Oryctolagus cuniculus: one gene and its partner. The protein of the gene in region 1 purifies or fractionates together with the protein of each later gene. This does not show direct contact. Links are inferred from orthologs where the notes say so. Each region holds a gene or a part of one and is shown in the gene's direction. Other genes may lie near its edges.

What was found.
Region 2: the proteins of NAP1L4 (region 1) and NCL fractionate together in Homo sapiens (co-fractionation; 3 studies listed by BioGRID). This does not show direct contact. The link is inferred for Oryctolagus cuniculus from reciprocal best matches to the Homo sapiens genes NAP1L4 and NCL.

The regions. Positions count from the first base shown.
Region 1 is NC_091432.1:792,121-795,918, forward strand, and holds part of NAP1L4 (nucleosome assembly protein 1-like 4), read left to right. Parts: intron 1-2,934; coding exon 2,935-2,957; intron 2,958-3,390; coding exon 3,391-3,510; intron 3,511-3,798. UniProt on the Homo sapiens protein: Acts as a histone chaperone in nucleosome assembly.
Region 2 is NC_091434.1:7,816,806-7,821,398, forward strand, and holds the start of NCL (nucleolin), read left to right. Parts: upstream 1-1,649; 5' UTR 1,650-1,860; coding exon 1,861-1,878; intron 1,879-2,797; coding exon 2,798-2,914; intron 2,915-3,907; coding exon 3,908-4,412; intron 4,413-4,593. UniProt on the Homo sapiens protein: Nucleolin is the major nucleolar protein of growing eukaryotic cells. It is found associated with intranucleolar chromatin and pre-ribosomal particles. It induces chromatin decondensation by binding to histone H1.

The DNA.
Region 1 (3,798 bases):
AGGCCACGTAGCAGTGTTGCTATGAAGAAAAACGTTATTCTCCATGAACAAAACAGTCTGATGTAGACCAGCCCTGGTGCACACGATCCGTGCCCAGAGAGGTTGTGTGGGGTCAGCAGGGGGCACGCCTCCCAGGCCTGCTGGGTCATCTTCGCCCTGTTCGTCTAGCTGCTGCTCAAACTTTAGTACTGGTGGTTCTCTGTGATTTGATTTTGAGCCTAGAAGATGCACAAATACTGGTTTGGGGCCAAGAATAGCCATAAGTTTGGGGAGATCTTTTGGAGTTGGCATTGAGCATATTGGCGGTTTACTGGCTTCACCAGCAGGTACACATGGGCTTTGGTGTGGTTTTTGTTTGTTTGAAAGACAAAGTGTCAGAAGCGTTAGAAGACAGAGAACACGAGATCTCCATCTGCCGGTTCCTCCTCAAGTGGCTGCAAAGCCAGAGCAGGGCCAGGCCCAAGCCAGGAGCCAGAAACTCCACCCTGCCTCCCACACGGGTGGCCCAGAACATTATCCAGGAGCTGGGTCAGAGGCGAGCAGCCGGCTTCAAGCTGGCACTCTGTGGGATGCCAGTGCCACACAAACGGGGGTCTACATTTTTTTTAAACATTTTAAGGCAGAGCTACAGAGGCAGAGGGAGACAGAGGTTGTCCATCCACTGGTTCACTCCCCAGATGGCCGCAACAGTCAGAGCTGTGTCGATTTGAAGCCAGGAGTTTCTTCTGGGTCTCCCACGTGGGTTCAGGGGCCCAAGGGCTTGGACCATCTTCCACTGCTTTTCCAGGCCACAGCAGGACTTGAACCGGTACATGTATGGGATTCCAGCACTGCATGTGGCGGCCTTACCAGCTACGCCACAGTGCTTGTGGCCTGAGAGAGCAATGAGAGATGGCCCAAGTTGTTGGCCCCTACACCCGCATGAGAGACCTGGAAGAGGCTCCAGGCTCCTGGCAGCAGATAGGCACAACTCCAGCTGTTGTAGCCATCTGGGAGTGAACCAGCGGGTGGAGGACCTTCTCTGTCTCTCTCTCTGCCTCTGCCTGTATAATTCTGCCTTTCAAATAAATAAAAGTAGGAGGCAGGGCCCCTGGGAGCTGGCTCGGAAGTGGCGCACCCACGAGTTGAACCAGCTCTCGTATGGGATCTGGCATCACAGGTGGTAGCTCAGCCTGCTGTTGGCACAACAGTGGCCCTGGTAGCTTTGACTTTTATATAATTTTTAGGATAAAAATATATAATTAGTAATGAATGTGAGAATTGGAGGGATGATATCTGGTGTTCTAAAACTCTGTTGGTGGGGCCGGCGCTGTGGCGTAGCAGGTAAAGCCGCCATCTGAACCAGCAGATGAAAGACCTCTCTCTCCCTCTCTCTCTCTCTCCCTCCCTCTCCCCCCCTCCCCCCTCCCTCTCTCTCCCCCCTCCCCTTCTCCCTCTCCCTCTCTCCCTCTACCTGTGTAACTCTGCCTTTCAAATAAATAAGTAAATCTTAAAACAAACAAACAAACTTTGTTGGTGTTGGTTACATAGCTCTCTCTCTCTCTTTTTTTTTTTTTTTTTTTTTTTTTTGACAGAGTGGACAGTGAGAGAGAGAGAGACAGAGAGAAAGGTCTTCCTTTTGCTGTTGGTTCACCCTCCAATGGCTGCCGCGGCCGGTGCACCTCGCTGATCTGAAGGCAGGAGCCAGGTGCTTCTCCTGGTCTCCCATGGGGTGCAGGACCCAAGCACTTGGGCCATCCTCCACTGCACTCCCTGGCCACAGCAGAGAGCTGGCCTGGAAGAGGGGCAACCGGGACTAGAACCCGGTGTGCCGTCGCCGCTAGGTGGAGGATTAACCTATTGAGCCGCGGCGCCGGCCATACATAGCTCTTAAGTATTATTCTTAGTCATTAAATTACACATTTCTGTGATATGTAGATTATGCTTCAGTAGAAATATACTTTTTCTTTTTTTTTTTTTTTAAAGATTTGTTTTATTTGTTACACAGTTACAGAGAGAGGTAGAAACAGAGAGAGAGGTCTTCCATCCGCTGGTTCACTCCCCAGATGGCCGCAATGGCCGGAGCTGCGTCAACCAGAAGCCAGGAGCCAGGAGCTCCTTCTTGGGTGCAGGGGCTCGAGGACTTGGGCCATCTTCTACTGCCTTCCCAGACCACAACAGGGAGCTGGATCGGAAGTGGAGCAGCCAGGACTCGAACCGGCGCCCATATGGGATGGCGGTGCTTCAGGCCAGGGCCTTAACCTGCTGCGCCGCAGCACCGGCCCCAAAAGATAGTTTTTCCAGTTAGTAAGTGATGTGATGTTGGGCAGTCACTGCTGTGGACTAGAGTGGAGGCTGAGTCCTGGGCTGGTCGAGAACCACCAGGACCCTGGGCCAGAGCACCCCACGCAGAGGGCTCCCCCGAGCGCTGTCTTAGGTGCTGCCCTGCGCCTCGAGGGTGCTGTGCATACAGCCAGCATTCCCGGCCGTGTGGGGAAAGCGGTGAGAGCTGAGAGGTGTGTCCACAGGCAGGGCTTGGGATCCTAACTCTTCCTACACGTGCCGGAGCCGGGGCGTGTGGTGGGCGTGGGGAGCTTTGGCCCCTGTGCCCGTCTCCCTCACACACGAGACAGGAGAGTGGCAGCAGCGTGCAGGGCACCTGGCCCCAGGCTCTGTGGGTGCGTTCAGGTGAGCAGCGTGTGGCCTCCGGGTTCCTCCTGAGCACAGAGCAGAGTGGCTGCAGCCTGGGCTTGGGACCGCCTCCTTCCTGAGTGCCCCCCCAAACGTCACTTCTCAGGCGGCCAGCAGGCGGTCAGGGGGCAGGGAACGGCGTGGAGGCCCTGGGCCAGCTTCCGCGTGAAGTGGCGGCTGGGAGTTGGGGCCCGGGGCGTGTCCCAGCAAAGCCCTGCAGGGTTCTGGTTGTCCTGTAATGTGGATGTGTTCTGTCTTTTCTAGCATCCGGGGATGGAGAATCACTGGTAAGTTTGAACCTTGCTTTTCCTGGTACAGTTTGTTTTCTGAGTGAGTATTCACTGCGTTGTGATCCACTGCCACCTCCTGGAGACCCTCGGCTTCATTAGAAATCCTCTCCCTTGGGGCTGGAGTTGATGGGAAACGGGACTGAAAAGCAGGTTCCGTATGTAAAGTAGTCAGCAGCATGGAAGTCCTAGCATAGTTTCTCCATGACACTGACTTTGCACAGCTGTGTGAAGGGCCCTTGGAGTCCGTGTGGCTCCAGCCGTGCGAGTCTTAGCTCCCGTGTGTCCCACGTGGCTGAGACCCTGGCTCCCGTGGGTGAAGCGCCTGAGCAGCCACGAGCCGCCCCTCAGCAGGGTGCCGGCTGCTGTCGGGTGCAGGGAGGGCGAGGGAGGCGTCCGCTCAGGTGAGCCGCCGTGGCCTTCCCTCCCTCAGGACGAAGACTCGGAGTTCACGTTAGCGTCTGACTTCGAGATCGGACACTTCTTCCGCGAGCGGATAGTGCCGCGGGCTGTGCTCTACTTCACGGGGGAGGCCATCGAGGACGACGACAACGTATGTGGCTGGGCTCGCCCTGGGGGAGCTGGGAGGGGCGGCCCCGGGCGGCCCTGTCTGTGACTCACCTGCTAGGGGCCTGCGGTGTCCGGTGTCCGGAGCCAGGAGCGGAGCGGCCTGCCGGCTTCAGGGCCTGTGGGTGTGAGCACACCCTGCTGCTGCGGGCCCGGCCCGGCCAGTGTCCCCGGCTCCCTGTGCTCCGGCCATGCCCTGAGCTGCATTGCATGTAGCTGGGCTGCCCTGAGCCCCGCTGGCTGTGTGTGGGTTCTCTTGCTTGTAGAGTCACGT
Region 2 (4,593 bases), on another chromosome or scaffold:
CAGAGCCAGAGGCTGGGACTAGCTCGCTCCTCTGATGTCGGACACAGGAAACCCACCCAGCTGGCTACACACCTGCTTCTTAAAATCCACCCGGTCCCCTGGTCATGCCCACCAGACATCTCTCCAGCCTCTTTCCACGAGTGCCTGAAGCCCGCTCTGCTTGGAAATCCACAGGGTCCTATCCCACCATGTCTCGGCTCATGCCGTTCCCTCTCCACCCCACCCCTGTCACCCAGATGGGATCCCCCGGCCCCCATTCCCTGCGCTTCGAAGCACGACCCCCTCAGAGCATCAGATAAAGGGGGCAGACCTCTCAACTGGTCTGAGCGCCCCAGTGAGTGGCCTGGGCTTCCTATCGCCGCAGGTGTGCTAGCAAGAACTAAAATAACTCGGCCGCCCCGAAGAATGCTCCTAGGCCTTTAGTGCAAAATCCCAGGTGGGCAGCTGGGGCGCCGCAGGCTGAGCTGCCGCGTGGGCCGGACCGAGTGCCTAGGATGTGGCACCACCTCCACTTCCGACCACATGGGAGACAGCAAGGGACGCTGGAGTCCCGGGGTCCCTGGCCCTCAGCTCCCGGGGAGGCCTGCATGGAGCCCCTGGCTTCGATCCGGCCCAGCCCTGGCTGTTTTGGGCATCTGGGCAGGTCTGCCACTCTGCCTCTCCAACAGAAACAGAGCGACCCCGGGCCCCCCCAGACCTCCTCAACTTTGAACCTTCAGAGGCGACTTTTATCAAAGGTTCTGCTGGGGCAGCTGGTTACCAGAAGCCTGGGGGGCATCCGAGGCCGGCTCCGGTTGGTTCGCTAAGCCTGGCGCCCATCTGAGCCGCCGCAGGAGCACACAACGCCAAGCCCACCTTCCGAGCCCCCGCCCGGGGCGCCGGGTCCACTGCTGGGCCACGTGTGCCGCTGCCCGCCCAGCCGCCACACTGACGGCAGAGGAAGCGCGGCGGGCGGCCCAGGTCCCGCTGCCCACCCCACCATGACCAAGCCCCTCGCGGGCGCGACCTCCAAGCTGCTGGACCGCGGGGACAAACACCTGCCGCGTGGTTACGGGGGACTAACCGAGCGCTTGTGCACGGCTCACAACTCTACCCGCAGCCCTCGGGAGGCACGTGGGCCGGAGGGCGCTCCAGCGGCCAGGGAGTCTGGGGCCCCTGGCTGGCCGGCGGGCCCCCGAAAGGGCCACTCGGAACTTGGCCGAACCTCAACTTCCGGCGCCCTCGGGCTGACCCGCAGGAAACCGCCGCGACCCCTCGCTCCAGAGCCGCAAGCAGGCTCAGCGAGGAGCGCGCACCGGCGCCCTCCCGCGCACACGTCTACCGGACCCGGCTACTTTCTGGAAACCGAGACCACCGCCCCGCGTTCGCTCAGTTCGCCGCGCCACTCGCTCGCTCGCCCCGCGCCAAAAGAGCCCGTCGCATGACGCATGCGCCGGGACGACCGGCCGCGGAGGAACACTCTGCGACCCGCGCACCCCCGGGCCAATCAGCGCCGGCCTTGCACAAAGCAAATCCCGCCTCCAGGACGCGGCCGCCAGACCCCCTTCCCCTCCTTGGCCGCCTGGGCCCGCCCACTCCGGCCCAATCCCCGCCCCACGCCGCGCACAGTTAGCGGCTTGCGATTGGCTCGCGCGACGGACGCGAGCTCTGATTGGTAGAGGAGGAGTCACGAGGGCGCCGTCGTCGCCTTTCCAGAGGCGATTACTGGGCAGGCTCAGTCTTTCGCCTCAGTCTCTAGCTCTCGCTGGCAGCCCGGCGTACGTGCTCCGGCATCTTCAGTCACCCGCGGCCGCCATCGACGCCGCTCGGGTTCCTCTAGGCTCGTCTGCGCCACAGCCGCCGCCGTCGTAAGCCGCCATCATGGTGAAGCTGGCCAAGGTAAGCGCTGAGGGCGCGCGAGCGCGAGCGCCGAGGCCTGCTGCTCAGGAGCGCGCGCGGCGTCGCGGGGAGGAGGGCCTGCGCGCCGTCCCGGGCGCGTTCGAGGGCGCCATGCTGTGGGAAGTCTCGCGCGACTGGCGGGCAGTTCTCGCGTGTCTTGGCTGCTTGGCGGCGAGGTGCGGCGCGCTCCGGCAGGTGCTGAGGGCGGCGTGGAAGGCTGCGGCGCGGGGCGCGGGGCGGCGGGAGGAAGTGAGATCCAACTCGTGCGCCGCGCGCGGGCCGGGCCCCGCCTCCGGCCGCACGTGCGCCGGCTCGCGGCCCGCCACGTGGGCCCCGCCGCGTGGGCCGCGGGGTGGCCGGGGCCCGCCGGCGCGAACCCGCGGCCCTGGCCCAGCTGCCCGGGGCCCCCCGGCCGCCGCCACGTGCGCCGGCCCCGGAAGGAGGCGCCGGGGTGCGTGCACATGGTGGCCGCCGGGCACCCCCACGTGGCCGCGGCCAGGTGAGAGGGGCAGGCCGGTTGGGGTCCGAGGTGGCTTTGTTACTTTTATGCTTTTGCGACGCTGGTGCTGCCCGGAGTTCCGACGAGGGCGCTGGTGGTGTGCGTCGGAGGCTGGGGGGGGTCCTCCCTGGAAGAGTGGCCGCTGGCTACTAAGAAGGGTGCCTGGTGCTAGGGTTGAACCCAGGGGTGAATTAAGTGGTTGAGGGTAAAAAAAGGCAGATGGGTTATTTCATCACCTTGGACTTGTTTTTTAGGTTTTGTCAAGATTGACAGGGAAACTCTGATGGGCCGTACTGTTGGTCAGTTTCAGGATCGGTTATGTTTAATGCTGAAAGTGCGTTGAGGAGGGTGATGGTTGTATTTTATTGTGGGCCGTGGAATCGATGAGGGGTGTTCATGTCCTCATTGTGTGCGTTTTAGGCTGGTAAAAACCAAGGTGAGCCCAAGAAAATGGCTCCTCCTCCCAAGGAGGTAGAAGAAGATAGTGAAGACGAGGAGATGTCGGAAGATGACGAGGATGACAGCAGTGGAGAAGAGGTAACTGGGTCGCGATCGAGGAGAAATTGGGTTGCACTTACACAGTGGACAGAATGGTGTTGGGTGTCTGAAAAGGATATGAAAAGTAGTGTGTTATTCACGTGACCCGGGGTGGGGGGTGCTTAGATGGCAGGAGACCGTTGGGTGAGTACCTGAGTGTGAGCATCTGGGATCTGTGCCCTCTGCACGGCTGGAGTGAGGTTGATACACTTCTCCTGCTCAGCATAAAGGACCAGGTGGATTCTGTCCCCCCCCTGTATGTAAGGTTTGTAGCGATTGGGTGGGTTGAAGGTGCCACCTGAGCATTCACGTTCATTGCTTGCATGGAAAGTCGGTTTTTTAGAATTCAGCAAAGACTTTACTCTTAAGTGAACTATCTGATAAACTAGGAAGTTAATGAAAATAGCTTTGAATAGGAGTTAAAATGTAGGTAAATAATGGTTCTTACAGATACAGTGTTTATTTGATGTGCTGTAATTTGTAAGGGTTGCTCAGCCAATTTAAGGCTGATTTTTATCTCAGGTCCTGTCTCAGGACAAGAATCCTGTACCACTACCCACTGTATGATCCCCAGATGATTTTTAATATTCAGATTTATTTATTTGCAAAGAGAGTTATAGAGAGGCAGAGTTCTCCCATCCACTGGTTCACTCCCCAAGTGGCTGCAACGTCCAGAGCTGGACCTATCCGAAGCCAGGATCTTCTGGGTCTTCACGTGGGTGCAGGGGCCCAAGCGCCTGGGCCATCTTCTGCTTTCCAGGCCACAGCGGAGAGCAGGATGGAAGTAGAGCAGCTGGGGCTTGAATTGGCTCCCATATGGGCTGCCGGCAGCAGTTTTATGTGCTACGCCACAGCACTTTACTTACTGTTGAACCTAACATGTTAACATGGAACATATGCAGTCTTGAACCAGAGGCAGTGCCAGAATCCACCACTGGGACCAGGGCTGCCTTTCGGATGTAGCAGAACTAACTGTTGGTGTTTGCTGTTTAGATAGTCATCCCACAGAAGAAAGGCAAGAAAGCTGCTGCGGCTCCAGCCAAGAAGGCGGTGGCTTCCCCGACAAAAAAGCCTGCGGCTGCCACTCCTGCCAAGAAAGCAGTTGTCACTCCAGGTAAAAAGGGAGCCGCCACCACGCCAGCGAAGAAGGCCGCTACCCCAGCCAAAGCGGTGGTGGCGTCGGGCAAGAAGGGGGCCGCGCTGGGCAAAGCAGTGGTAGCGGCCTCGGGAAAGAAGGGAGCGGTCCTCCCCGCCAAGGGGGCCAAGAATGGTAAGAACGCCAAGAAGGAAGACAGCGACGACGAGGAGGAGGAGGAGGACAGCGAGGAGGACGACGACGACGAGGATGAAGATGACGAGGAGGACGAGGAGGATGAGTTTGAGCCGGCGGTCATGAAGGCAGCAGCGGTGGCCCCCGCCTCCGAGGATGAGGACGAGGAGGACGAGGATGAAGACGACGATGAGGACGAGGACGACGACGAGGAGGACGAGGAAGACGGTAAGGAAGTCATGGTGGCTCCTGGCTCTGGGAGGTTTCCACGTAGCCACGTGGGGTTGGATTAGAGTCCTTCCTGGGGTCCTCTGGGCTCTTCCTGTGGCCTTGAGTGTGGGGGTAGGGCGTTCTTTCCTCCAGAGCATCCCAGAGCCAGAGTTGGTGTGGGAGATCCTTCCAGACTGAC